4 linked regions of the Saccharomyces cerevisiae S288C genome follow. The gene in region 1 interacts genetically with each later gene. Each region holds a gene or a part of one and is shown on either strand. Other genes may lie near its edges. The genes, in order: ICS2, ANK1, VHT1 and RRG9.

Region 1 (8,330 bases):
GGCCCCTTGCTTCTTCTCCTTGTGTCCGACTAATGGTGGGTCTCGTAGCTGCTGGGCTGCTGACCATGCTTTTTTTGCTCTCTCTTCGTCTTTGTACATAAGCAGAGAGTGCTCATAAGATTGTGGATTTCTTCTTAAGCATGGTCTTTCCTTTGGTATATTTGCAGATTCTAGAGAAACTATCATTTTTATGATATTTTCCACAATCTCAGGAATTTCAAAGACCGCATGACTTCGCTGATGTTGAGCAGTCAAAGGTTGCCCTAACTTCAATTCAGAGAATTCATCAACAAGAATGTTTTTAATTTCCGTTGGTGTCACTATAGAAAGACTGGATGCAGAAACAACTCGAGAGGTTGCCCATGCATTTTCTGTAGCCGTATTTTTTAATGGTGTGGCCTCTGGAGTTGAAAGATACTCATTGCAGCTTTTCTTATTAGGCGTAGTTTGCACACTACTTTGAAGAAAACTTTGATCTGTTTTTAAAGACAAATCTGGTCTTACTAACTCCACTTTGCTTGAGCCGGGATTGTAACTACTTTGATGAAGATGACCTCCATACTTCCTTACAATATCTTTGAAAGGCTTCTCCATTTTAAGAGATGTGAAAGATGGACTAGGTGACATTTTTTTCAGCGGTCTAGTACACGGAGATTCAAGTGACTGGATATCTCTACCTCTTTTGAAGGAGCCATTGCTGCTTACGCGTTCTAGTTTCATTTAATGGGTACTTTACTAACAGAAAAGGAAAATGATAAATTATCAAACGAAGGGAATTATTAGTTCTAAGTGAAAGGAATGGATGGATATTAAACCAAAAAGGGATATTAAACCAAATTCAAAGAATAAAAGGAAAAGACAGGTATAAGTTCTAGAAGAAATAAACAGAGAAAAAAATGATATGATAAATAAGTTATTTTTGTACAGTTAACACATATAGTTTTAAAACTTTTTGAACGTTTTTGTTAGTTCCCTTGGGCCTTAATTCCGTACTTTAAAGTGTGAAGAGTATAGTCTATAGGACCCTTATAAAGAAGGGTTGCTATATATATATATATCCACAACTATACTCCCTTTCTTTCGTATATCTGAAGGTATCCTACTACTTGAAACAAACTTGAAGAATGGTTACTGAACAAAGGACAAGCATAAACACTCCAAGGCAAGGCGATACAAAAAACACCAGCAGGAATAAGATGATTGATGAGACATCCTAAGTCCAATAGAAGAAACAAGCGAGAAATAGCGGAACCAGGAAACCGAAGTTGAAGGAAATTCTTTCTTTCAATTAAGCTTTTTGTTACCATTTAGGAAACTTCCACGGTGTCATAATTGTGTTTTGTTTGTTTACTTCTGCAAGTTAATGAAAATCCTGGCGGACGACAGCCAGTAATGGCCGGAGAGTGCTTTATTTTGCCCAGCAAAAAAATTTTGCGAGTGTAACAAAGAGCGCGAGAGCAGACTACCACTAAGAAAAGCTTCGGGCAATGCGCAGCAAAAAATAGAAAAAAATGAGCAAAAAAGAGAAACATATTTTAACATGGTCTCCGTGCCTTCGGCGTACCCAGACAATTACGGTTAACACCCACAACGTCAAACAAGATAATATGTTCCACGCTTCGGACTAGAAAGTGACATATCACATGTATGGTAGTATCGTAGGTATAACATCCTTCCGCCATCAAACCCTTGTGGCCTATGAGTGCCTATGCAGGTAATTGCTCCAATAAAGATTAAGCAATTTTTTATCCCATAATTAATTGTCGCCAACCCAACCGAACCAATCCTTTACAATTTTTCACCTTACGCCATAACAAAAATGAGACAACCCCGCCACCTACTACTGATGCAATTATTAACACGTTTTCATCCGTTTATATTTCTCTCCGGCCGTTCAGCACCGGCTTGACCAGCCGGTGCTGAGGACAAGAAAAACACAGCGAAAAAAGGTGGGAGAACGAAGCTTCCGCAATTCTCACACACCAAAAAATGAGTTACCGGCCGTCTCTTCTTTTGCCCCTCGCATATAATGGGATTGCGAACGGAGAACGACAGCAATATAACAAGCGTACGTGATCCCTTTCATTCTGTTATATTCGAGAATAGTTGTTGACAGTGGAGATAACTCCGAAAATATCATGAAAAAGAGGGTTATTTCCGTTCGTCGGGACATTGCTGTAGAGCTCTTCAATGGCCACAACTTGGGAGCGTTAATATGCAATCAAGTTGTAGGGAAGATTATATCTCTCCAGGGATTATTACCTGGGACACAGAGCTCTTTTCCTTATCTCATCTCACGCATCTAGACCCTGCTAGCCGTCGTTTCTTATTTGAAGCGTTAATCACCCTCACTTTTCGTCCGTAGCACGTAAAAAAGAAAAATAGGGTACCGTTTACCTGTCGTTAATATGCAAGTCATTAACAATCCAGCCCAGTACTTTATTTGCTATGGCACGGCATAGGCGCAGGGAGTTCACGATTTGGTCATCAATGATTATCACGATATGGGGGTCCTTATGATCTTGATGTTCTTTCAACTGCTCTTTGTTTCTTTTTTTTTTGTACGACAGTTTATGTGTTAAAGAACACATCCACTCCAATTTTGGGTCGTTTATACTTTTGTTTCGCTAATCTTAAGCCAACCTTGAGTTTATACCTAATTATATGCCACGTTAATGCACAAAACCCCTCGTAATAAACTTTCCTTGGAAGACTTTCTTTTTCTATTCGACGCATTTGGTTACATATCTGTTGGGAAAGAGCCCTTCGACTGCAAGTCCGGCATCAAGAAAGCTTGACATCCAAAGAAGCATTTAAGTATAAATAAATGAGACCCATTCTATCTTCTCAAATAAATCTTTTACAAATATGTGAACGTCAAAGCGCATACTTAATAAAAATTTATACTCTACACCACCTTCGTTATTACTTCACTGAAGTTTCCCTTTCCAGCAAGATATGGGCAAATTTGAGCAAAAAGAAAGAGAAAGAATAAGCACATTTAGTTTTCCTACTACGGGCAGTCAATCTAGTACATCCATTAAATCACTTGGCAGCCCACTCTATGGACGTTTCAGCTCTCTCTCTTCAACAGAATCTCAGTTCGATAGCAGCAAACAACCCCATGAGTACGAAAAGAGCTTTTATTTTGAAGAGTCTCAAGGCGAAGCTCTGTTCAACAAGCTGAAGACCTACTCTTTCCCTGGAGACAAGGATGGTGTGAAAACGAGGAGAAATTCCTCCATATGTCCAAGAAAGCCTAATGCGGTATCACCTTTAAGGGTAGAAAGTAATGAATTATCATCACATTCGCATTCACGTTCATTATCACACGAACTTACAAAGCCTTCAGGGCGAAGGAAAAGTTACCACAGAAAAAGTCATGCAATCTCATTCAGCAGGTCTTGTAAGCCAAATTTCATTGACGGGTACGATTCTAATTCAAGCATAGGCGTCAATTCAAGAAAAACTTCATTGGCAAGTTCTTTCTTGGACAAAGAATATCATTCTTCACCGGATACTTCATATACCCACCAAATGTCCCCGAAAAACACAATCATGAATACCAATGAACAATTAAGAAGAAACGCAAGCGGTAGATTCGGGAGTTTGAAAGAATTCGCTGAAAAAAATCAGATAAATATTGAGGGCAAAATTTTTGCTCATAAAGTGGAAACTGGAGACATATTGCAACCACTAATTGACTTAGATATTGACAATAAATGACTGGATCATTTGTCTCGCATTTTTTTTTTTCGTTTGTTTTGATAAATAAAGGACTTAATGTTAGTTTTGATAATGTTAAATGAATATATAAAAATAAACCATGTAAAGAGTATTTTGTTACGCTGTTTCGTTATAGCGTTATGTCAGTGTTATTATTTCTTATACGCGGAAAAGCCTGATCCATTCTGTTCTGAAACCGATCTTCATATTTTAAATTTCGCGAATTAACTAAAAAAAGAAAACAAACAAAAACTCGTTTCAAGTATTGCCAATGATACAAACAAAACGTTTCAAAGTATCTCCTCAACTGACGGACTTTGAAAGAGCCCGAAGATTTAAACAATGGACTGGGCAATCAAAGCAGCTAGGAAGAAAACTCAAAGGAAGCCAGGCTCTACCCGTTCAATCATAGAAACCCTCGATGATCTAAATAATCTAACAACAGATGCACATTCAGAAATAAATCAACGATTGTACGAAAGTAGTGAATGGTTAAGAAATAATGTTTATATGAATACACTCAAGTATGAAGACAAAAAGATGGAAGAGTCTTTAATTAGCCCCGAAAATACGCATAACAAAATGGATGTCGAATTTCCTAAAATGAAAGGAGAATATGAACTTTCTAACTCCCAGAATGATGCCGCAAAAGACGTTACTAAGACACCCAGAAATGGATTACATAACGATAAAAGTATCACGCCTAAATCACTCCGCAGGAAGGAAGTCACCGAAGGAATGAATAGATTTAGTATACATGATACCAATAAAAGCCCGGTTGAGCCATTGAATAGCGTTAAAGTCGACGCCAATGAAAGCGAAAAATCCTCACCATGGTCACCTTACAAAGTTGAAAAGGTTCTAAGAGAATCCTCCAAGACTTCGGAGTCTCCGATTAATACAAAACGCTTCGATAATCAAACATGGGCGGCTAAGGAAGAAATGGAGAATGAACCTATACTTCAAGCTTTAAAGAAAGCTGAATCAGTAAAGGTGAAACCACCACCGAATTCTGGGATAGCGAGATCTCAAAGAAGGTCGAATATGTTTGTTCCACTGCCGAATAAAGATCCTCTTATTATTCAACACATTCCACCAACAAAATCTTCAGGATCAATACCAAAAGTACGAACAGTAAAGGAATCACCAATCGCATTTAAAAAAAAATCTACGATAAATAGTCCTGCTATAAGAGCTGTGGAAAACAGTGATACCGCGGGATCTACAAAAGCATCCAGTGTTTTCGATAGGCTATCATCTATTCCAACAAAATCATTTGAAAACAAAATTTCCCGTGGAAACGTTGGTCACAAATACTCCTCTTCATCAATCGATTTAACAGGCTCCCCCATGAAAAAAGTTTCTCAAAAGTTTAAGTCAATAAACTCCACGGATACTGATATGCAAGAAGCGTTAAGAGATATATTCTCAGTAAAAAATAAAATAACCAAAAATAATTCACCCAAAGGAAAAAACTCTCGAAAATCCTCTATTCCGAGGTTTGATAAGACTTCTTTGAAGCTAACGACACACAAAAAGCTAGCAATCATTGCAGAACAGAAAAAGAAGTCCAAACACTCTAGTGATGTTCATAAAACTGGTTCAAGACCGCACAGTATTTCTCCAACAAAAATAAGTGTCGATTCAAGCTCGCCATCTAAAGAAGTTAAAAATTATTACCAAAGCCCTGTAAGAGGTTATTTGAGACCAACAAAAGCGTCTATTTCGCCTAATAAAAATAAAAATTTAACAACGTCGCAAACGCCACATCGTTTGAAAATTAAAGAGAAAACATTAAGAAAACTTTCTCCGAATATTGCTGACATCTCCAAGCCAGAGTCTCGTAAATCCAAAAATTATCGGCTTACAAACCTTCAATTACTTCCACCAGCAGAGGCAGAACGAGATGACTTAAAAAAAAAGTTTGATAAAAGGTTATCAGGAATTATGAGGTCTCAACAGGAACATCATCGGCGTAAACAAGAGAAACAAAAAAGGATGTCGCATTTGGAACAAGATCTAAAAAAGCAAACAAGCTTTAGTAATGACTACAAGGACATACGTCTAAAAGAATCTTTGGCTCCTTTCGATAATCATGTGCGAGATACCATCAACAAAAATACTGCATTTAGTACCGACAATATATTGGCCACAATAAATACAGTTGACCATCGAGAAATAATCGGAAATGTGACCCCAAAGATAGCCTCTGTCAATGATTCTTTACCAGAGATAAATACTGATTCTGAAGATGAGGCTAGCGTAACTTTAGCGGCATGGGCTAAATCCCCGTATTTGCAAGAGCAATTGATAAGACAGCAAGATATAAATCCACAAACTATCTTTGGACCAATTCCGCCTTTGCACACCGATGAAATTTTCCCAAATCCTAGGCTAAACAGGTTGAAACCGCGTCAAATTGTGCCCAAAAGGTCTTGAATTCGATTACCCCAGAAAAGAAAAATTCAAACTGGTTAACATTAAATCAAGTACACTTTAAATACTCTGGTATTCCCCCTGCATTACGTATATCGTTCACTTTCTTTACTTTTCCTTCTTGCTTTGTTATTTCTATCTACAACTTTGCGTTACATATTTTTAACTATTTGACACTTCACACAGATCTTCTTTCTAAGGCTTTTTGCTTATCCCACTTGGAAATCCACCCTTCACTTTCTACCTTTGGCACAATATATATTTTCAAAGCGTTATCGAACAATGGTACATCTGGCGACTCTTTCTTCAAGATATCGTGAAATGTCAGTTTCTTACCAGCTTTAATCAAACCACCTGCCTTTGTTTCCATGAACACCAACACTTTCTTTGGTGTGAAGTTTTCCTTACCTTCTTTTTTGAAGCGTTCTTGCGGCCCTTCCAAAACTAGGTCAACAAGTTCTTGCACAGTAGTTAACTCACTTACTTCACCTACAAAATCAAATTCATCTTGCGTGGGGTACATAATTAATGCGGGATAGATCAATTGAGATTCAAAATCCATTGGGTCTTCTAGCCTTATTTTACCCTCATTAAGTAACTCTACTGGAGAGTGAGTTTTGATGTTAGTTATGTTTCTCAGCGTCATTGCGCTCTCTAACATAATTTTCTTGTTTTCACGTTCCTGAGCTTCTCTTTGCTGTTTTTCTTCTTTTGCTTTCAATTCTTGTTCTTTTCTATCAATCACTGATAACATATTCAAAATTGATTTGTTCTCTGGGTCAATCCTTTGATTGGCAAATGTTGCGGCTGATTTGGCCTCCTCCAACTTGTTTAATTGGAAAAAAGCCTTGCTTGTACGATAGTAGCACTTAACATTCTTGGGGTTAATAGTTAGAGCTTTACTGCAGTCCTCGATACACCTCCTGTAATTTTTCAGCTCTAACTCACATGCCGCTCTATTGGCATATAGTGACTCATTTATTGATTTATCTTCGCATTCTACAGCCAAGCCCTTTGAGTAAAGTTCCCTTGCATCCTTGAATCTTTTTGCTTTGTATAGTTCGTTACCTTGCTTCTTGAAATTTTCAGCGATTTCGTGTGGTTCGCCTTCATAAGCTAATGCCTTTAAAGCTTCTAACTCCACGTTTTCACCACCTGCACCGTCTGTTTCATCCAACTTGGTCATGAAAAAAGGCATTCTGTTCATTTCTTTCAAGATTTCATCCGATGTTTTATCTTTAAATTCGGATAGTTGGGGTGGAAGTTCAGGATCACCTGGCCCTGGCACATATTTTTGTGGTTTGGTATATCCTCCATTTGCGTTAACGGAGCTCATTCTAGATGCAAAACCAATTTATTCTTTTCTTTTACTTGCTAGAATGTAGTGCTCAAGACCTCACTTTTAATTCAATGCTGCTTTTGAATTTAAGCTCATCGCTCTGAAAAGTGCCGGAAATTACACATATTCTTTTTTTCTTTCTTTTTTTTCCACCTTTTTCCTCACTGCGTTAAGAAAGAGATGAGGTGAAGTTATTTTGTTCTGTGTACTATAATCACACATTACACAGTTTTCTGTGAAACTGTACAAGGTGCCTAAACAGAGATACGAACGCATACGCTTTTAGTATTTAAGTCTTTAAGCTCATTATCCGCACAAGTAAACTTGAGAACACAGACTCTCTACATATAAAGTGCCAGATATCTTGGTAATGCTCGGTAGGTGGATTAACGTACTCTTATCATCAACCGAGACTAGAAACCGTATCAATAATTTATTTTATATAGAGCAGAGCATCTGATCGCTAGTTAATATGCAAGCATTTAAAATTAAAGTGGCAATGTATTGTTGTTGTCCTCTATTCGACTCCTAACGGAGGCCTTTTTTTAGCAATGGCTGACCGCGGAAGGAAAAATTTTTCTTTTCTCTTGAAAAATTTTCAATCATATATATTATTCAAAACGACGCAATTCGGTGAGGAAGATTACAAACGTTGCTAACAAGGGTCAACAGATCACGAGCCAATTTGAATTCAAATTAAATTAGTAGGGGATTTACAAAATTTGTGCGCAGGTGGATATTACTAATAAGCTAAGACAATGGACCAAGAAAATGAAAGAAACATCTCAAGATTATGGAGAGCATTCAGAACAGTAAAAGAAATGGTTAA
Region 2 (4,301 bases), on another chromosome or scaffold:
CTCCAAAGACAGCAGCCTTTCTAGAACCTTCATGATATCCATTAACCTTGGCTCCATGGCTCGTGTATCTGTGTTGAAAATCAGGTAGCTGAATGCCTCCGTGGCTAACTGTAGGGTCTCATCTTCAGTAGAGAACGCTAATACTTTTGCTAATGGTTCAAATAGGTATTGATTTATTTCATCTGGTAAAAATCCATCGTTGGGTTTTTTCTTCAAAAAAACTGTGATGAATTCCAAGACTAATGATAGCAGGGGTGAGTATCTATAATTGTTTGCATTGTTGGAATCTAGCACATTAATAAATGATGGGAGACATAATTCAATGTAATTTTTGTAATTATCCATATTGATATTATCCAATAGTTTCTCCAAGCATTCTTGACTTTGTACAACGACCTGTACATTTGCTGGATCCTCGGATGAGATCGTGAACACAAGATGAAATTCAGCCTGTAAAATTTCCTTTCTTGAATGAGGTTCTTTCGGATTGTAGCTAATGACTTGACTTAATACTTCCATTAAAGCCCCATTAGTGTCCTCTTCGGCATCACTACTAACCTGGTTGATTATTCGAATTACTTTTTCCTGGGTTTCTGAGCAGACCTCTGGTCCAAGGACTGAATCTAGTTCGGCAAAATAACAATAGTACGTAAATGCTATTAATGTTGCGGATTTAATGAGCTCTTTATCAGATTTTAGCGCCAAATTAAGACTTTTTGCCAAGAATGCAGATGTCAAGGGTTTGATATCAGGTAATGCATCTATAAATTTGTCTAGTACTCTGGGAATAGTCAAAATTGCACGCGCCAATATTAATTCTGGTATTTCTTGTGATACTAAGATATTTTCTAACGTTTTTATTAAAATTTGCAAAGATTGATCGATATTTTCACCAGTTATCTCATCATCATTAAGCAAAATACACTGTAAGAGATATAGTAAAGATTCTAAAGTTGAATAATTACACGTGCTGTGTTCTATATCGTTGGAAACAACTTTGAAAATTAGGGAAAGTTGAGGATTGGGTAATGAAGTAAAAAATTCATTGGCTTGATCTCTAACATTATATGATGCTGCTAGGCCTGTTTCCTTCGATACAAATGTATTGAAATCGCTTGTCCATATCTCTCTTGTCTCAGAACTTAGCTGACAAAGAATGGTTAAAGATGTTATAATTTTGTTCATCTCTTCAACACTAAATTGCAAAGTGCAAACACTAGTCAAAAATTCTACAATATAAATAGAACAATCATGAACTGTTTCTAAAAGGGGTTCACTTTCAGTAGTTTCGACATTTGCATTTATATGGGTAACGTTTTCCAGATCTTGGATTGCCATTATTTTGAACTGTTTTTGTAATTCACTTGAGAAATGCTTTCTAGAGAAATCATTTTTAATAAAAACCAAATTCTCGTATATAATGGATTTAAATTTCAACTGAGAAATAACATCTACGTTTCCAAAATTCAAAGTCAACAATTGTCCCAATATCTGTAAAGAAGTAGCTAAACATTGGGAGACAAAACTTTTTCGTGACGCCTCATCATACTCATTATGGGAGCTCATTTGTAGAAGACATGCTTTAAGTAGCTTCAAAGCAGCAATTTTGGCTATCAAAGTAGAAGTTTCTGTATTGAGTACTTTGAAAACGATCTCCATTGTCGCCAAGCCAATTCCGCCTTCAAAGAACATTTCTTCAGATACGACATCATCGTAAATTTCATTCAATAAAGACATCGCATTTAATGAATGCTGATGAGAGATAGCATCATAAATAACTGTTAAAAGCTGCGGCCATTGATCAGGAAAATCAACCGCAGATATCTGAACAATACAGTAAGATGCACCATTTTTTATTTTGGTATTTTCATTGTCATTTAAGCATAATTTCAGTAGCACTTCTCGGATAAAATCTTTAACATCTATTTCGACGTTCGATGTAGAACGGTATGATTCAAATCCTGGACTCCAATACATGGTGATCAATTTTCTTAACGACAATAAAGCAAACTGTCTCGATTCTAGAGAAGCTTCGTGCTGTAAGGCAACGTTTGCCAGCGCTTTAAACACTTGAGATGCATCGGAATCACACCACTGTAACAATTGCGTTTCCGCAACTTCTCTAGTGTGTTTATCAGCTGATTGAGCACCTATTATCAATTCATTAATATCCATTTTAATGTGTTGATAGTGTTACAATTACGTTCAAGATTTTCGGATCGTGTATGCAGGTCATATACATCCATATGTATCTTTTTTTTTTTTTCCTAGTATACCCAAGGTATAACGCGTTGATAGAAAGGTTGACAATAAATTCATTATATAGGGGTCCTGTGAGGTAGTTTCTGAATCCCAGTGAAAAAAGTCATAAGTGAAAGAAGTCGAAGTTTTTCACAAAATAAATTAGTTTCTTTTTTTGATCATGAATACTGAAGGTGCTTCTTTAAGTGAACAATTGCTGGATGCAGCTAGAAGAAACAATCTGGATCTTTTGGAGACCGTATTTGATAGCTTAGATAATGATCCTGAGAAGATTGCAAAGCTAATTAACGAATCCAAAGAACCACTGGGGAATACAGCGTTACATTTATGTTGTAAGTATGGATCCTGGGAAGTTCTCGACAAGATTCTCGATCAAGACGGTGAAATCGAAATAGACCCACAAAACGACGTTGATGGCGACACTCCGTTACATGTTACTGTCAGATACAGTCAAGAGGAGCCTGAGCATGGAACTTTTATTGCTAGAAACTTAATTGAAGTGGGTGCGGATCCTAGGGTGAGAAACTATAACAATCAAAAGCCAGTTGATTTGGTTCATGGTGATGAACTGGATGAATTAATTGACCTTTTGCAGGGTGCCGAGTTAGCGATTGATAGTACCAATGGATCAGGTGATAACAATGAGGATGGGGAAATGATAGATGATGGTCCATCTGACGATGACGAAGAAGATGATAAAAAATGATAAAATATGTGATGATAATACCACAGAGAGGGAAAGATAGATGAACTCTGGATATATAGATATTTCTACTGTGTATATATTTCTTTAAGGTGCACTAACAAAAAAGTGTGCATATACGCATATTCAACAATATATATATATATTACTTCACATCATCCGTTCTGGTGGGTATCCAACCATCGGGAGATAAAATGTTCTTTATTGCGATAATTAACTGGCTTCTCTTTTTTTGACGAGATTTAAATTCCAAATAGCTTATTCCTTCATACTCTGGTCTTATTTTTTTGAATAGTTCCCATTGTGCAAACCGGCTTACTTGCGATTGACAGTGTTTCCTCAGTGGTTTCGATGATTTGGTATAAAATCCATTCCTCACGCCATTAAGAATCGCTTCTTCGGTGCTAAAGTCATCCATAAAGAGCTTGACACTACACATTAGACCAGGAACATCCTCCTCATCCAATTTATCATCATAAAATGGTTTGAGGCAATTCAGGAATTTAATTTCATTATCTAGATTCGGTAGACGAGTGTGAAATGATTGCTCTAGATGATGTTTCGTTTCATCTTCTAAATTAGGAATCACAATGTACTTTAAAAATACAGGTTTTTCAAAGAGTTCATAATTTAAACAATTCAGTACCGACGACCGTTGTTTCATTAATAATTTATCAGAACAGGATTTAGATAAAGTGATATTGGAATCATATCTTCCTGGTTTAGTCCTAACGACATTTCTTCTATTGAAATTCAAGCGTCCCCTCAATATTGTTTTCACACTACGGTCGACGTATTGAAATTCGTCGCTATCTTCTATTTTGATGAAATCATCATTTTTGCAATTATCATTCAGGAAACTCATGCTGGCATCACCACAGGGCAATCTCGAGATGTACAATGCCAACTCCCAGTTTTCCTTTAAATTGAATCTGGCAGGTATCTCGTCATTATGTTGAATGAATTTATCACCACTTGATGGATTATAGTTTTGAATACGGTTTAATAAAACTGTATTAGCACCTCGTAATGCCAGTATTTCTGCATGACAGTCATGCAGAATCTTCCCCTCACTTCTTTGTAGTTCTGAATCTGGCAAAGCCTTCACACCAGTAGCTATGGAAAGTATCTCTATCTTATTCGCACCGCCATCTCTGTTAATAGCTGCAACACCTGCCAATATTGTCCACTCTCTGATACCTGAAGGCCTAATTATTGGTCTGCAGGCAGATTTTAGTTTTGAATACTCATTAATCACCCTCGTTGATATCTCTTCACCCAATTTATCCTCACTTGGCATAGTGAGAAGGTTTACTATGCATGGCCTTGTTCCTTG
Region 3 (9,587 bases), on another chromosome or scaffold:
ACCAGAACCTGTAGCAGCACCTGGGAAAGGAGACACGGCTGTTGGATGGTTGTGAGTTTCGACTTTGATAAGTAATGGAATTCTTTCCTTTGTAGAGGTCCATTCCTTTGTAGTTGAATTTGGTGCAAAGAAAAAGGCATCATTTTCACTATCCAAAACGGCTGCATTATCAGAATAGGCGCTAATAGTATATTCTGGGTTTAATTTATGGGTATTTCTAATCATTTGAAACAAGGTGAATTGTTGTTTTATTCCATCAATGGTCCAATCAGCATTGAAGATCTTGTGACGACAATGTTCAGAATTAACTTGAGCGAACATAAATAACTCAACATCAGTAGGATCTCTTTTCATAGTTTCGACGAATGCATGAATCAAATATTCCATTTCTCCACTATCTAGAGCTAAACCCAATTCCGTATTAGCTTTGGATAAAATATCCTTTGGAGACTGTTTAGTGTCCTTAGGAGTTAAAGGAACGTGAACTAATGGCTTTGGCTCTTCATGTGTGAAAATACTCATCGTATTTGGTGGTTCGGTCAGATATAATTGTTGTGTCATCCTATCGTAGACACACTTCAATGAAATATCATTTAGATTTTCCAAAAGAGGGAAACCTGGAACAGTCTTTATGAGTAAGGCTAAACCTCTTTCAATACGTTGAACTTTGTCTTGTAGCCCGCATACATGAGCAATATTAGTAGCCTTGGAAGACCAAGGAGAGATAGTGCCTGATCTAGGAACAACTCTAATCAAATATGTGTCTTCGCCAAGAGCTGAACTGGGTAAATTATTAGCGACAGCATCGTTTAATTGTCTTGCTAATGGATCGTTAGCAATATCTAAAGCAGAATCGTAAGTCAACAAAACTTCTAGCAATTTAGTGTCCTGTTCAGACAAATTTTGAGCGATGCCGTTGACATAGTGAATGTAACACGAACGCAATTCATTGATGACAGAAGTACTGTTTGTATAGGAGTTTATATCTTTAATTAGATTATCGACTCTGAACTGAGATAAGGCCTTGGGACCCGGCAAAATATAATCAGTCATTGAACTTGACTTCTTTTGTTATGGACCTGGGAGGATTAAACTCTTAGGGATATCGCTAAGATAAAAGTAGAAGAGAAATATACTTCGAGGCAGGGACAGCCAATTATTTAAATACGTATGTCAAGGTTTTCAAAGAAAGAAAGAGTTAAATAGCAAGATATATTGCATTTATTACGGCATCATCTGTTTAATGAGTCCTCATTCAATTTTTTTTTTTTTTTTTCAATTTCAAGTTCGACGAGAAATTTGGAAAAACGGGTCAGCAGGAAAGAGTCAGGAACGGTTGAAGGATATTGAAAGTCATTTTTGTTTATTTACAAGCTGATGTAGAATTACATATCCTATCTATGCGTCAGCTTCACTCATCGTTGGTAAGGATAAATCCAATTTAATATGATATTTTGCACCAGGGAGAATAGCTGTGATGATATCCAATAGAGCGAAAGAAGGAATGGAGCCTGTGAGGACATTGCTAGCATAACGACACAACCGAGTCTCGATACGTTCAGTATACTAGTCATTGCCTCTTGGACTCTTGTCGAATTCCTTGAAATTGTCTTTATACCTTGCGATGACAAACTTGAGCTAAACATCAGTCGGCCATTGAGTTCCACGTTTAATACCGCCAGAGTCCCCACCAAAATGGGCGCTAGTAGAGGCATTGCTACTAGCGGTGAGCTTAGATCAAAGGAACTGAAACCCAGTGCGGAAAACCAGGAAGGATAAAAACTTTCTATAAGCTGTGTCTCTGTTAGGGTCCTGATGCCCATGGAGACTGTGACCCAAAGAGGAATTTGCACCATTGGCAGTAAGGCATTTTTCCATAGGGGTACATTGTACTTCTTGAATAATTTTTTCTGCCTCTTTCTTGTCTCTTTCACTGCCAATAGTGTAATTTGTTCTGGTGTCAAAACGCCAGCATTCTGTAGTTGTAACGGCATGAAAGAACCGTTGGAGCTAATTCTGGCGGCATTTCTAGACTTTTTATTAGTAACGGCTGCCAGTCGAAGTTTAATAATGGGCGTTATTGGCTGTACTAATTTCCTCAGTTCTTGTTGTTTCAAAATTCTCCTCCGCTGCCATATACTGAATGGCAGCGTCACGAGGGTTCTAAGGGTCATAGTAGTCAAAGGAACAAGCACTATCCATGGTATATGTGAGGCTTCATGCACTGTTAAAAACGTGTCCGCTACACTTTGAAAAAGTGAAAAGCTTCTCTTTGTACTTGGATTAGTCCTACCATATCGCAGACCGACTGAGCTGCACGAGAATGACGCAAAACCATTTTGACGATTGGCTAACCTCTTTAACATAATGCCATACTTTATCTTGAAATTTTCCTATCCTTGGACCTTTTTTTTCTAATGAAAGTCTTTTTAGCCTTAGTTGAATTACTGGACGGTAGAAAAATTGGGTTTGCCAGCAAAAACAAAAGTGCAGAACGTTAAATAAATGAAAGCATAAACTCATATGCTAGAATATTTACTAAAAAAAAAAAAAAGTAAAAAAAATTCATTACTATTATACATGTGATATCAGAACGGAAGGTTTTACTCAACTTGACTGCCATCCCTCGGTTTGTAGTGAGGCAACAGCTCCACAACCTCAGCTGGTAGTCTACCATCGACCTTGATGGCGTACATACCAGCTATACTATGATCTACGCTCAGCCACTTTGCTACCCACGACTTAGTAGGCTTACACATTCCTACGAGGCCCTCGAAAGAAGGCGACGTACATTCCATTGTAGAAACACCTGCCTCTTCAAAAATACCCTGACAGTTGGGACAACCATCTCTATTAAACTCATTTGTGGTCTGCACTATGCCACACAGCATACAGGCTCTTTCACTAGACATCTCTTACACTGTACCTCGTTCGCTTTTGCCAAACTGAATGTGGCCAGGTGTAATTATTACACAGTACATCCTTCGAGCCCTTTCTTAAATTTCACTTTTTCACTCGATTTCACTCATAGAACGTATAAGGTGACCTTTATCAACATCGAGATTAATTATAGATAGAAGATGATTAAATTATATACATGAATATATTTATTTGAGGTATGGTGTCTAAAGCGTAATATACCTATCTACTTCACGTAAATTGGACTACGAGGACCGCTTTAAATAGTAGTAACCATCTCTTTCCTCCATATTTTTCTTTACAAATTCTGGAAGCTCTTCACCCTTATTACTATCATACAAGATGATACCATTACCTAGAGCATGTTTCTTTTCGTTTCTCTTGTAAAAAAAAAGTACAACAAACGTCCATAAACCGTAAATAGCACCAAAAATTAAGCTCACGGTGTAACCAGTCTTAAAACGTGGTGACTCCACGGTAGGCCACGCCAAGGTAGGAATCCAGGCGTAAGTGGATTGAGAGAAGGAATAAATGGCGATCCATGTAATAGCCTTCACCTGAGGATCAAACCTTAAGAAGTCATTAATAAACGACCATAGACAAGGCGATGCGGCCACACTGAAATACGTGGTGAAGAAAGCGTACCATTTAGCTTTCGAAGGAATATCCCACTTGATAAGTAAGGCACAAGAAACGGTATTCATTATAGCAGCAAAAACCATGAATATCCACTTACATCTAAATAAATCGGCACCAAAGGCACAAAAAATCACATACGCAAATCCTAAACATGCGGGTATAACACTCAGGTTGTTCACTTGGGCAATGGAGTACTTTGTATTAGACTTTAACCACAAAGTATATGAACCACTATACGCAGTCATGTTATTCCACGAACATGTATCAAAAACAACAAGTACCCAGAATGCTGGAGTACAAAATACTTTCTTCCAAAGTTTTCTGCTCCATAATGGGGCTAGCTTACTTTTATCAACACCATCTTTGATTTGGTTCCTCTTATTTCTGGCCCTTGCAATTCGTATTTCTTCGTCAGTCAGAAATAAAGAGTAACACTTAGATGGTACACCGGGAATAACAAAAAAACCAATAATAGCCGTGGGAAGAGAAATTGCAATGGCATCGATCAGAAACATCCATCTCCAGCCTGCTAGACCATGGACGCCGTTCAAACTTTTGAATATGCGACTTTGCAGAAGTCCTGAAGTCACGGAACCCAATTGTTGCCCACAAAAGAATAAACAGACTCTTGAATTAATTTCATCTGGGGCATACCAACAACCTAGTATATATTGGGACACTGGGTAGTAAGCAGCGCCAAAGGCACTTAAAATAAATCTGTAAGCCCTTAGTTCGGCTAGTGAGTTTGCCCTATAACATGCAAATGTGAACCAAGTCCAGCCCAAGTCCATTACAGGCAAAATAATATGAGAGGGAAATCTTGGTAACAAATACATAAATGGTAATTGGAAGACAATGGCACCAACATTAGCAATAGTAGAAGTGTAAACGTAATCATTACCTTTCATGTTTAAATCTTCCTTCATATTGGAAACATATGCGTTAGTGTAGTTATTCAAATCCACTGACTTGGACCAACATAACATAAAAAAGTATAAAGCAATAATAATGTCTAGCTTGTAAAGAAGCCGTCTTTCAGCCTTGGTTTGAGTAGTATGATTAGGATACAAAAACTCGTACCACTTACGTGATTTCTTGTATTCCTTATTAACACGATACTCGAATTCATCAAAATATTTCCACCATTTACGCCCAGCTTCATCTCTCACTTCATATGGCAAGTCATGCCTTAAATTGTGAGGATGAGGTTCTACAGCTGTAGTTTCTGCCGTAACGTCTGTCTTCGAGGACTTATCTACGCTATGATGTAGCTCCTCTTCAGCTATGATACTGGAGTTAGTATCGTCTGAGTATAAGTACTGATCATCTTCGGGTAGTTTTCTCAAATGTGGGAAGTAGCTCCTCCACGATTTATTCGAAATTGTCATTATCTATTGATTTGTGTCGGTCCTTTTTTGAAAATTGAAACAAATGAAAAGGCGATTGCTCGTGGGTGTAGAGCCTTTATATATAGTTATGTTATAGCCGTAAGAGTCATGCAGATTTTTGGGAATGGCTATCATCAAACTTAGCCTTGCATCTCATATTTCGACTTTTTTTTTCATTTCACACATTTTTTTTTCCTTTCACAGTTGGGTGAAAGAGTCTCGGAGGCGGTACGGCGCTTTCTGTGTAAATCATCCTAAAGTGATTCATAATCTCAGAGCCATTTCGGGTGAACTAATGATGATTTTCTAGTAGACTACGGCAGTATCTTAGCTGACGCAATTGTAGCAATGGAGGCAATCATGTTAGTAAAGGACATTTTAGTTGTAGGAGCATAGGATCGACAGGCCATGTGAAAGGCGTACTAGCAAAGATTGAAGTAATGAGAATAATTGACGATGATTTTAATTTGAGCTTTTCAATGCAGCCGAATTCAGCAGTAGTTGCAGAACCGGACTAACACTTGAAAAAATCCCACGAGCCAGCTGCCGTCTAAGGATATTGTAATAAAGTTGGGCTTAAACTAAAGTTTTTATATCTTGGTTGTAAGGTTGTAATCATTCGTCTCAAGAAGAACGTTGAGTAATCATTAGTCCTCCGCATAAGTAGGTTGCCAATAACTTGTTCAGCAATGATGGTTGCAGCATATCCTCGCTAACGTTTTACTTACCAAATATTTTTTGCTGGTGATTAAGAAAGCTTCTACCATAAGAACACTATGTCAATTTAAAGCAATAATGTTTTCCTGAGTGTTCTTGAGCCTCTGTAAACGAATCATCAATTCAAGTATTTTTATTTTATTGCAAGGATATCGCCAACTAATTATTAACCGGCACTAATGATAGAAATGTTTTTATTTCGAACTACAAAAAGGGCATACATGACGTGGATATATGTAAAGGGTTACTAGTTTACTTATTGATGTAATATCAAGAACAATGTGCTTTTAAAAGAGACATGGTTGACGAGTAAACAAACATACATTGGTAATTCTATAAGGGTCTTTAGGCAATTTCAAATCCACTTGAGTAGGTGTTCAATGCGTCGCAGTTGGTTGGAACGAGTTCGAGTTTTTGAAACAATTCACAAGCGGGATGATAGTAGTAGCCTTCCACTGAACCTGTTAGCTGGTCTAAACACACATAGTAAAATCCCTCAAATGACGCGCCTTCCAGATGATGATTATCGTCCAACATCAGATTTTCTTGTTCCTCATCATCAAGTAGGAACCTTTCCTTCCATTTAAGATAAATATATCGTTGATTCATAAATTCTGCACTTTCATGATTATACTGACCAAAATTTCTTTCCGTTAACGACCAGTTATCAGAACCAAAATGACCAAACCTCTTCCAATGAGAGCAATCACTTTCTCTCTGAGCCATATAAGGGTCGAGCGTCTCCTCAGCGGGCCAATGCAGTGAACATAACGGGAATTGGTTATAATTGATGACATACCCTTCAAAAAGGGTAACAACTTTATCTAGGACTGGTGTTAAATTTTTAATAGTGAAAGTACCTGTGACATGCGGGTCCAAAGAACGCGAATCCTTGTAAAGTGGCAAGTTTACGGTATCAATCTTCACTTCCACCGTATAATACGTGTACTTTGACGATTGCGAACCGCCAAATCTCAATCCTGGCCTCAAAAAATCTAAATGTCTACCAAGGGATCTGTAGGTATATTTAGCATTCTTACCCACTAAATTGGTCCCTTCCTCGTAAACATCACAGTCCTCTTCTTTTGCTTTGAAGTGAGGCAAACGTGTATCAGTTGAGGAGGGTAGAGAGACATAGGCCGAAGTATATATTTCTTCAATGTTGTCATTTCTTTTGGCCCTTTCTAGAATAAACTTTCTTCCCATGATATTCAGTGATGTCATACCTACAGTATATTTTAAATGAAAAGTCTCATAACACAATACGAAAGGATAAAGATAACTCGTCGATGGCCATCATGATTGCCCTTTTTATATGTTTTTATCAAATATTAAACTAAACAACATATACAATTACATCATTTTTCCCTACTTTCTTTTTCTGTAATGGTTCATCGAAGCATTTTTAAGGGTGCCCTGAAGACTATTGTTAAAAAAAGGTACCGCATACATTCGAACCATTACCAGAAAAAAGAGGGGTGAAAAGACATTCTAAATTTTGTTATCGAATGTGAACAGAACACTTAAGAAAACGCCAAGGTTAAGAAGGCCTTGAGAGTATTGATTAAGGCGCATGGAGCACAGGTAAACGCGAAAGACGTTTTGTACTTCCTTTTACTGAGCACCTCTTACATGTAGTAGTAACCATCGCAGCGGAATAAGCACACAAAAAATGGTATTTACTTTTAGGCAAACTTGTGGGAAGTATTAAAATTATTATGTAGATTTATGTATATCGTTTGTGGTTGTATTAAACTTTAATGTTATTAGTGTTGTTAACAACATTTCTTTGGCCATTATTTTATTTGGCTAAAAATTTCAATGTTTTTACTTTGTTTATTGTCAGTTGAAGAAGCTGAGAATTCTTGTGATTCCATGTTTACCTGGGGTGGGACCACTATTGTTTGGACTAAATTGATATTGTTTCCTGTTGCCCTTAACAATGGTTGTTCCTTCTCTTGTTGCTTAGGGGCCGAGTTCACGTAGGTGTAATTACTCGTTGAGATAGGTTCAATGGCTTTTATATCTAATGGGGGCAGGAGAATCTTATTACAGTTTGAATCTCTCTTTAGGAAATTAGGAGAGAGTGGCAAACATGATGCTACTGAAAACGATTTCATATCAGAAGCACCAGATAAAGAACCTCTTGAAGTCTTGCGAAACGGCTGTTGAAGAGCAAAACAAGACCAATTAGAGATATCAGTCAACAATGCTTTCGTCTGGTCATTCAGGTGAGGGGAGTAGATTAAGTATGGGTAAAGAATATTATCTCTTAATGAAGATACAATAGCATGCAGTAGTATATGGTAAGCAATGAAGGAATCTGACCAAAAATCGAACAAAATGGAGTGTAAGTCTGTCACCAAGTTCTTTTGGTGTGTTATAATGTAGTCATTCACAAACACTTCAACCTTCTCAAATTCCTCTTTCTCTGTTGATGAAAGGTAGCTCTGACGTTGTACATAAATGGTATCGAACCAGAAATATAACATTAGGTGAACATTGGGGTTTACTAGTAATTGAGATACTTGTGATGGTGAAACATCCGAGCTTGCAATTAACTCCGATGAAAACAATTTTAGTTGGAAGCTGACAATGTCGGTAATTAACTGAATATTCCTTGGGTTTAAAGATGCCAGCGTGAAAGACTTCAAATTAAGAAGCATTGATATGATTGATAAGTTCGTGGTGATCAAGGTTTCATCAACAAATGAGGAAGAATGATGAAGTAAGCACGAGGTCGATACCTGTGGAAAGTTATCAATGAACCATATGTTCCTTGTGGTCCCATTTCTCAAAGTCAAGTTGTTGATGAATTCGAACCAAATCGTTTCCCACAATAACCAGTTACTTTTCGATTTGCAGTCCGTAATCCTGGCGTTCATAACGTTCGCAAATAAAGAGGGGTTTGCACTAGTTTCAGGTTTGATCGGCTGCTGCATTACGAAACATTCATTCAAGTAAACCAGCAAATCATGCACTCTAAAATCAGATGGCAGCTCTTGCGGATAAGTCTTCTTTATTATAAAATACACGTACGCGGAATCTGCCAAAATATTGATATGCTTTAAAGTTAAGTCAGTAGTGGACATTGACGGTCCCTTGTATATGAAGTCCTTAAGTGGATTAGACGAAATAAACTCTTGATTGACGAACCAACCAAATATTAGTAAAGAATCGTTGTTGAAGTTGTTTGAATCGCGCAAGATATTGACCCATAGATCGAATATGAACCATGCATTTTCCTTACTATTCAAATAATGGTAACTGGAGGATGCCACGGTGAATGGCTTCAGAATATCTTGAAGCATTGAAAACACATCGAACTTTTTAATGGAATTAGAAACAGGAATGTTATTCTCCAACATTACTAGAAGAGAATAAAATAGAATCAAGGCAAAAACATCATGTTGCTCTGTCTGTGACAAAATGTCCTCAGTGTCAAAGTCATTGTCATGTTTAGATGAGCTAGCATACAAATTCGTACAACAGATAAACCATAGTTTTTGAGAATCTTGATTTAACGAAATGGACATACCCAGACAAGCTATTATGAGACCAAAAGGCTTGTTAATCCAAAAACTTTCCACCAGCTCGTCATTTTGTAGTGATGAGAACAGGTCTGGAAAGAAATTTTGGAAGATCTTATTTTCTACCAAGTGGCTTACACCCATTCTGAAGAAAGTTAGAATATCTCTTGAGCTAATAAAATCTAATGAATATTCTTGCAAAATTTTTACACTGATGGAGGACTCCAACCGGCTTTTAACCTGCTTAAAGCGGCTTTTCCCTTTCTTTAAACTAGAGGACTCCTTCCCAATCACACAACGTTGCTGCTTATCCATTTTTTCAACATTACTACTATGATAGTGAATATTGATAAGGCCGCTGTTGACCTTAATCATCGAATTAACGAGTGTTTCC
Region 4 (5,790 bases), on another chromosome or scaffold:
TAGTTTTGATTTTTTTGAACAATTGAGAAAAGTCTTCTTGGAGAATACGTAGGCGGTTATCGTGATATGTGTAAAAAGTATTATTAAAAACCCTCAAGTCCTCCCTTGAAACAAACCTGGGCAAACATATTTCCAATATATTGTCGGTAAATACCAGATTGAGGAGATCCACCTCCAACAGGCACAAAATATATATAGTGTCATAGTTTGGTCTAATGACTCCTTTTATCTTGTCAAGGTGGACGCAAAACTCTAGTAAATTCTTTCTGAAGAAAGAATAATCAAGAGCGAGCTTCAAATATAATGCTTTTTCCGGGAATATGTTTTTATTGTTGAATTGCTTTCCCTCCTGGAGCTCTTCTAATAGTTTCACCAATTTGGTGTCCAAACAAAATGGCTGAGGGCTGTGTTGGTTACTCATTGTTTTGGTATGCACTAGCTGATTAAAACTCTCGGTCTTATTTTATTAGTAGCTGTGACGCGTAATCAAATTAACCCAAGTTCATTACTTATATTAACACTGTCGGCGGCTAAAATGCGATCGTCCCGTTTAGCGGATAGAACTACAAAACCAGATATATATTCTGCATCTGCAACTTTCAAAGTTTACCGTTTTCTCAATACTCTACTTGCTAGTGAAATGGCGGTAGTGATAGGCAACCTGTATCCACTTTGTAAAAGGTATTTCACTATATCTGTCGCCAAGAGCAATCTACAGTACGATTCCTAAATCGGCAGATCATCCTATATTTAGATCGTAGATAATATTACTCAGATAAGATTGCTGATGAAACTTTACTATATTGAGTTTTCTAAATGTTTCCTTACGAAGTTCTTGATATAGTCACCGTGATGAAACAATTTGTATTTAGTTGGTGTGACCTCAAATTTTTACGGTTTTTTGAAAAGAACCCGTTATGAAATTAAGAAAAACAGTAATTCAAAAATGTGAAGAAATTAGGAAACAAAATATCTTAAAAAGATTGAACGAACACTCTGTTACCAACAAGAATATGTTTATCACATCAGTTTAAGCATGCCTCCAAGAAGTATAGAAGAATGGTTTTACTACAAGTTACTGAGTAGTCCAGGTTTCCATAGATTTGTACGCAAGGTATATAGGAAAGTAAATGGTATTAAAGAAGATCCTTTCACTGACCAATCAACTGCTTTTCAATATCTTTATAAGCCAACTCCACGACAGAAATTTAAGGCTTTAAGGCTTTTATTTTGGGATGAAATGAGATCTACTTTTGGGTTCAGAAGGAGACTAGGAGACCGCTTTAAAAAAGATTAATTCATCCTTGTCTGATGTACAAGTACTATAAAACAGACAAAAGTACCTTTTGACTGCATTTCACACTAAAATCTCTTTTTAAAACGAAAAAAACGCATGCAATTTAAATAATATTACTACGTACTATTTGGCATTTCTATTTAACACCATTATATATATTCAAAACTATATATTACACAACTTCCGGAAGGGAAACAACTATATAATACACTCGGAATACAACTTTAAAACCTTGAAAATAAGAATTAGCCATAAAAATCTTGGAGGGAAGCACTTGGCATCAAGACTCCTTTGCTTGGCTGTTTAAAGGATTTCACTTTCGATAGAGAGACATCGTCTTTCAAGGCAACGATAACCTTTTTGTCTGAACCAAATTCAAAATTATCAGCAACAACATCAGCATTGTACCTACGGATTCTGTAAGGATAATTATTACTACCATCTTGATTTAAAATGCCCTTTAATGACCAAGAAATCGCATAAGGACCCGTCGATGTAACAATAGTTTGTTCTTGCTGGCCTATACCGGTATTAAAATAAGCCTTCGTAAATCGGATTGGTTTTTTTGTGTACGTTAAGATTGATGCCGAATGTTCTGGTCGTATTTTTAATACATATGTTTTAACATTTTCACTGGCTGGGAACGACTTCAGAAATCCAATGTTGCCAGCATTTTTTCCATCCTTAATTTTCAAATCCATAAGAAGCAGAGTACTCTCGCAAGTCGCCAATAACCATTTACCGTCAGCAGAGGTAGTAATAAACTTGATTGCTTGGCCTAGTGAAGGTATAGCAGTTTTTGCCCTAATACCGAGCCTATCATATAGTTTTATGTCACCTTTTTCTGACCCAATAGCAATATAACCACTCTCTGTTGTTCCAATAGAGCTAAAGTTATATTTACCCACGTAATCTTTTGATTCATCGACGGCTATTTTATTTTTTCCGTTAATTCTAGGATCAATTTTAAAGACACCTTTCTGTGAAACGCCAACAATTGTTTGTTCAGGCGTCATTTGATCGAATTTTTTGGTTGGACCATATTGAACAACATTCTTGTCACCAGTAGACCATTCTTCAATCACCTTTCCTCTTTCTATATCCATCTTATAAAGTTTGTTCTCATTTTCGCCATCAGTCAAAATTAAATTACGATCTTCCATATACAACATTGGCTTATGAGGATCAATGCTTTTACCACCTAAATTAGAAATATTCTTTATGGCAGCTACAAATTCTAGAGAATCGTCTTCATCATCCGTTTTGAACACACCAATTCTGTTATCTCTTGTAACATATGACCTGTTGTTCCTAAAGGCGACAGTCAATGAACTATTACCTTTGGAAGTCGCACGCCTAGGTTCTTCAAAGGCTTCAGATGAAATGATTCTTTTGGAGTGATCGTTTTCGTCATCCTCATCTTCGCTATCATTTTCACTTTCGCTTGATTCTTTATCTCTTTCCTCATTTGATCTGTCATCTATGTGTAAAATGTCATCAAATTGCTTTTCCAATGGCACGGATGATGAATCTAAAATATAATCTTTCTCCTTTTCAGGAACGTCGGTCCACGTTTCTTTGTTCAAAGTCATCCATAAACATTTAACCCAAGCAAACCTGAATTGAATACACTTATCTAAGTCCTTAAATTTTAACATATAAGACAATGTAATGTTTTGTAGCGTATAGTTGAAAAGAAAGGCATCGGTAGCTAATTCAAAGGTAGGATTGATATTTGGGGCGACCTGAGTCCCAAGACGATTATCTTTACCTTCTATCGCTAGCCAAAATTCGTACTTGCCTGTATCAATAATTGCTACCTTTACCACGGGCTCCTGCAGAATAAATTTTTCTTGAATTGGATCATACATGTATAGGCTAGACATCACTAAACAACAATATTCCCCTTCTGGAACTTTTTTCAATGGAGAAGGAGTTCTTTCCAATATTTCACTTTCCTTCTCGTGCTCAAAAGAGGTGTCTTTAGCATCTTGAAAGTCATCTGAGCTTGAATCTAACTCGTCATCATCATCTTGAACAAAGAGCCTGGTTGATCTATGCTCTATTTCCTTTAAGTCATCTGCTGAGGCAGTGAGAGAGGATTTTTTATTCCTTACTTCGAATTGGCATCGGTAAACAGTTTGGATAAACTGTTCAACATCAGAAAACGACACATCAGCGGCAACAACAAATTGAACCTTTTCATCTTGTTCATCACCTCTTAAGTTCTCCCACACAAGCGCCACGTTTCCTTGTTTATCCCATGTTTTGTGAAACATGATTTTATCCGATATTTCAACGCTCCACTCCTCTTCTTTCTTTTTAGACTGTGTGGATAAAACACTGATGGTGTCGTCTTCAAAATTCTCAGCCTCATCTCCCGTGCCTCCTTCACTATCGTCCTCTACCCTATAAACCGCCAACTCATAATCAAATTTGCCTATTTTACGTACGCTTAAAGTTGCATTGTTGTAAATACATTCTAAAGCAGCTTTAGGGGAATTCTTAGACCTCAAAAGATTAAACTGCCCAGAAGGTATCGTGATGAGCTCTGGCTTGTTACCAGACTCCATAAACTTCTTCAAAATGTTCATCAGTCACTATAACTACTGCAGATATTATTGGACTGGATACGTAAAGAAAGAATGAAGTTTGTTTCTACTAATCAAGTTCGAATGAAGTGCTTGACTACTTTGCTTTCAGTGCTGTCCTTAAGGGACATTACTAAGTAAAAGTGATTAGTAAAAATAACAACATTCCCACAGTCGTCTAAAATGATCATAAAGCTAGTAAATATGAAATGATGGTAGAACTAAAACACCAATCACCAATGGTGTAGAAAGTCTCCAAGGAGAGTCGATCGTATACTGTTCATATCACGGTAAGCTATTTAACAAGGCACTACGTATTCCCTTCGACTTCCTTCTGAATCATTTGGTTAGCACTTGGCATGAACATTCTGCGAATAGCATGTCGTTCTTTTCATTGCCTGCGCTGCGGTCCATTACTCAATGAGAACAGGGGATGGTCATCCAAAAAGATTATTAAATTAGTCAATAAATCGAGTTTGTCCAATAAAGAGTTTACAGAAAAAGTACGAGATGGTACGAAAGACATTCCTGAGTGGAAGAAGCAGAAAATGGCAGTTAGAAAAAAATTGCAAGGCCAGAGGTGGAACCCACCAAAAAAGATATCACAGGAACAAATGGAGGCTCTAAGACTATTGAAATTCAACTTTCCTGAACTGACAGCATCTGATCTTGCAGACCGGTTCAAAATTTCTCCCGAGGCTGTTCGAAGAATTTTGAAGTCCAACTGGAAGCGTACTGATGAGGAAAACAATAACACCTACGAGAGATGGAAAAGAAGAGGAGAACGGATAAAAGAAATGTATCAAAGAAAAGAGGATGCCGATTTTGTATCCAATCAAATTGTTACTAGCAGAAAGATTATACTTGGGTCCAACTCAAATTCACCTGAATTAATAGCAAGGAATGTTCGCACTTTTAAACCTTTCAAGCCTAACAACAGTACACCTGAAAAGAAAAACACCAACAAACTATACATTTTGAAGCATTTGGGCTCGAAACAATAACACTTTTGAGGGATTTATATATTATTACGAAACTTCTTGTAGATAAAGGAACATATATATGTACATTAGAATAGAGAGCATGCAGTAATATCGTTAGTGGAACCGTTTCTGCACTTTCACTTGCAAAAATTGGTATGTGTCTTCTTAGGTACTATGAAAAATAACGGTATTGTTCGCCACTGATCAGACGGATGCGTTACGTGCACTAGAGCGTTTTAAATTCAATGCTATTATTTTTGATTGTTACCTTGGCACTTGGCCATTCACAAACCAACCTTTGATTTCTCGGATTCCCTGTATAATATTTCTTGATTTATTTGAGAAAGCTCGGGACCTATCTGTTAACTCAACCTGGTCAGTCACCATCTTAATTTGAAAGACAAAATCGTCTATACTTTCAGATGGTTGGCCTGAGGATCTGTTAAAATACTGTAATTCTTGTTTCATATTTTGCAGTTGATAAATCATTTCAGCCCAATGGCTATTATCTTCTCGTATTATATTGTCGTCTGAAGTTTGAGTGGACCTCTCCACAAAGTTATTCTGTTCGTTGAACCCCAACGACGATACTGGGGTCATCACCAGTCGTTTTTGCAATTGCGCTATGATTCTTCTCAAACGCAACAAAACAAACAAGGAAAAATCATTTCTCTGCTGGTACTGCTTTTGTAGCGTTGGTTCAACAAACATAGCAATAACAAAATATAGAAATGCATAAATTGATCCACCATTATATAACAAGCCCTTGATGGCATTCACCGTTGGATTAGTTCCCTCTATTTTTTTAATGCCTATGTTGGAAGGCCAGTCAATATTCCTGGGAAAACTGTTAATCGATGTCATGATTTTTAGTCTGCCTTACGTGGTTCTGCTTATCAGAATGATGGAAATATTTCAA

What was found.
Region 2: mutations in ICS2 (region 1) and ANK1 together harm fitness more than expected from each alone (negative genetic interaction), as found in Saccharomyces cerevisiae (one large-scale study listed by BioGRID).
Region 3: mutations in ICS2 (region 1) and VHT1 together harm fitness more than expected from each alone (negative genetic interaction), as found in Saccharomyces cerevisiae (one large-scale study listed by BioGRID).
Region 4: mutations in ICS2 (region 1) and RRG9 together harm fitness more than expected from each alone (negative genetic interaction), as found in Saccharomyces cerevisiae (one large-scale study listed by BioGRID).

Annotation. Positions count from the first base shown.
Region 1 is NC_001134.8:548,939-557,268, reverse strand, and holds ICS2 (Ics2p), read left to right. Parts: upstream 1-2,958; coding exon 2,959-3,726; downstream 3,727-8,330. Other genes in the region: AMN1 (Amn1p), read right to left, coding at 1-720; SLI15 (Sli15p), read left to right, coding at 4,069-6,165; HSP70/90 family co-chaperone CNS1, read right to left, coding at 6,341-7,498; DNA-directed RNA polymerase core subunit RPB5, read left to right, coding at 8,260-8,330.
Region 2 is NC_001139.9:43,319-47,619, reverse strand, and holds ANK1 (ankyrin repeat-containing protein ANK1), read left to right. Parts: upstream 1-2,422; coding exon 2,423-2,968; downstream 2,969-4,301. Other genes in the region: karyopherin KAP114, read right to left, coding at 1-2,175; TAD1 (tRNA-specific adenosine deaminase), read right to left, coding at 3,111-4,301.
Region 3 is NC_001139.9:614,913-624,499, forward strand, and holds VHT1 (Vht1p), read right to left. Parts: upstream 4,947-9,587; coding exon 3,165-4,946; downstream 1-3,164. Other genes in the region: ADE6 (phosphoribosylformylglycinamidine synthase), read right to left, coding at 1-1,053; membrane insertase COX18, read right to left, coding at 1,416-2,366; transcription elongation factor SPT4, read right to left, coding at 2,604-2,912; GID10 (Gid10p), read right to left, coding at 6,009-6,887; YGR067C (uncharacterized protein), read right to left, coding at 7,460-9,587. UniProt on the Saccharomyces cerevisiae protein: Involved in uptake of biotin with the concomitant entry of protons.
Region 4 is NC_001146.8:245,562-251,351, reverse strand, and holds RRG9 (mitochondrial ribosome assembly protein RRG9), read left to right. Parts: upstream 1-4,247; coding exon 4,248-4,892; downstream 4,893-5,790. Other genes in the region: MER1 (Mer1p), read right to left, coding at 1-421; MRX7 (Mrx7p), read left to right, coding at 1,037-1,297; VID27 (Vid27p), read right to left, coding at 1,543-3,891; PEX17 (Pex17p), read right to left, coding at 5,136-5,735. UniProt on the Saccharomyces cerevisiae protein: Required for respiratory activity and maintenance and expression of the mitochondrial genome.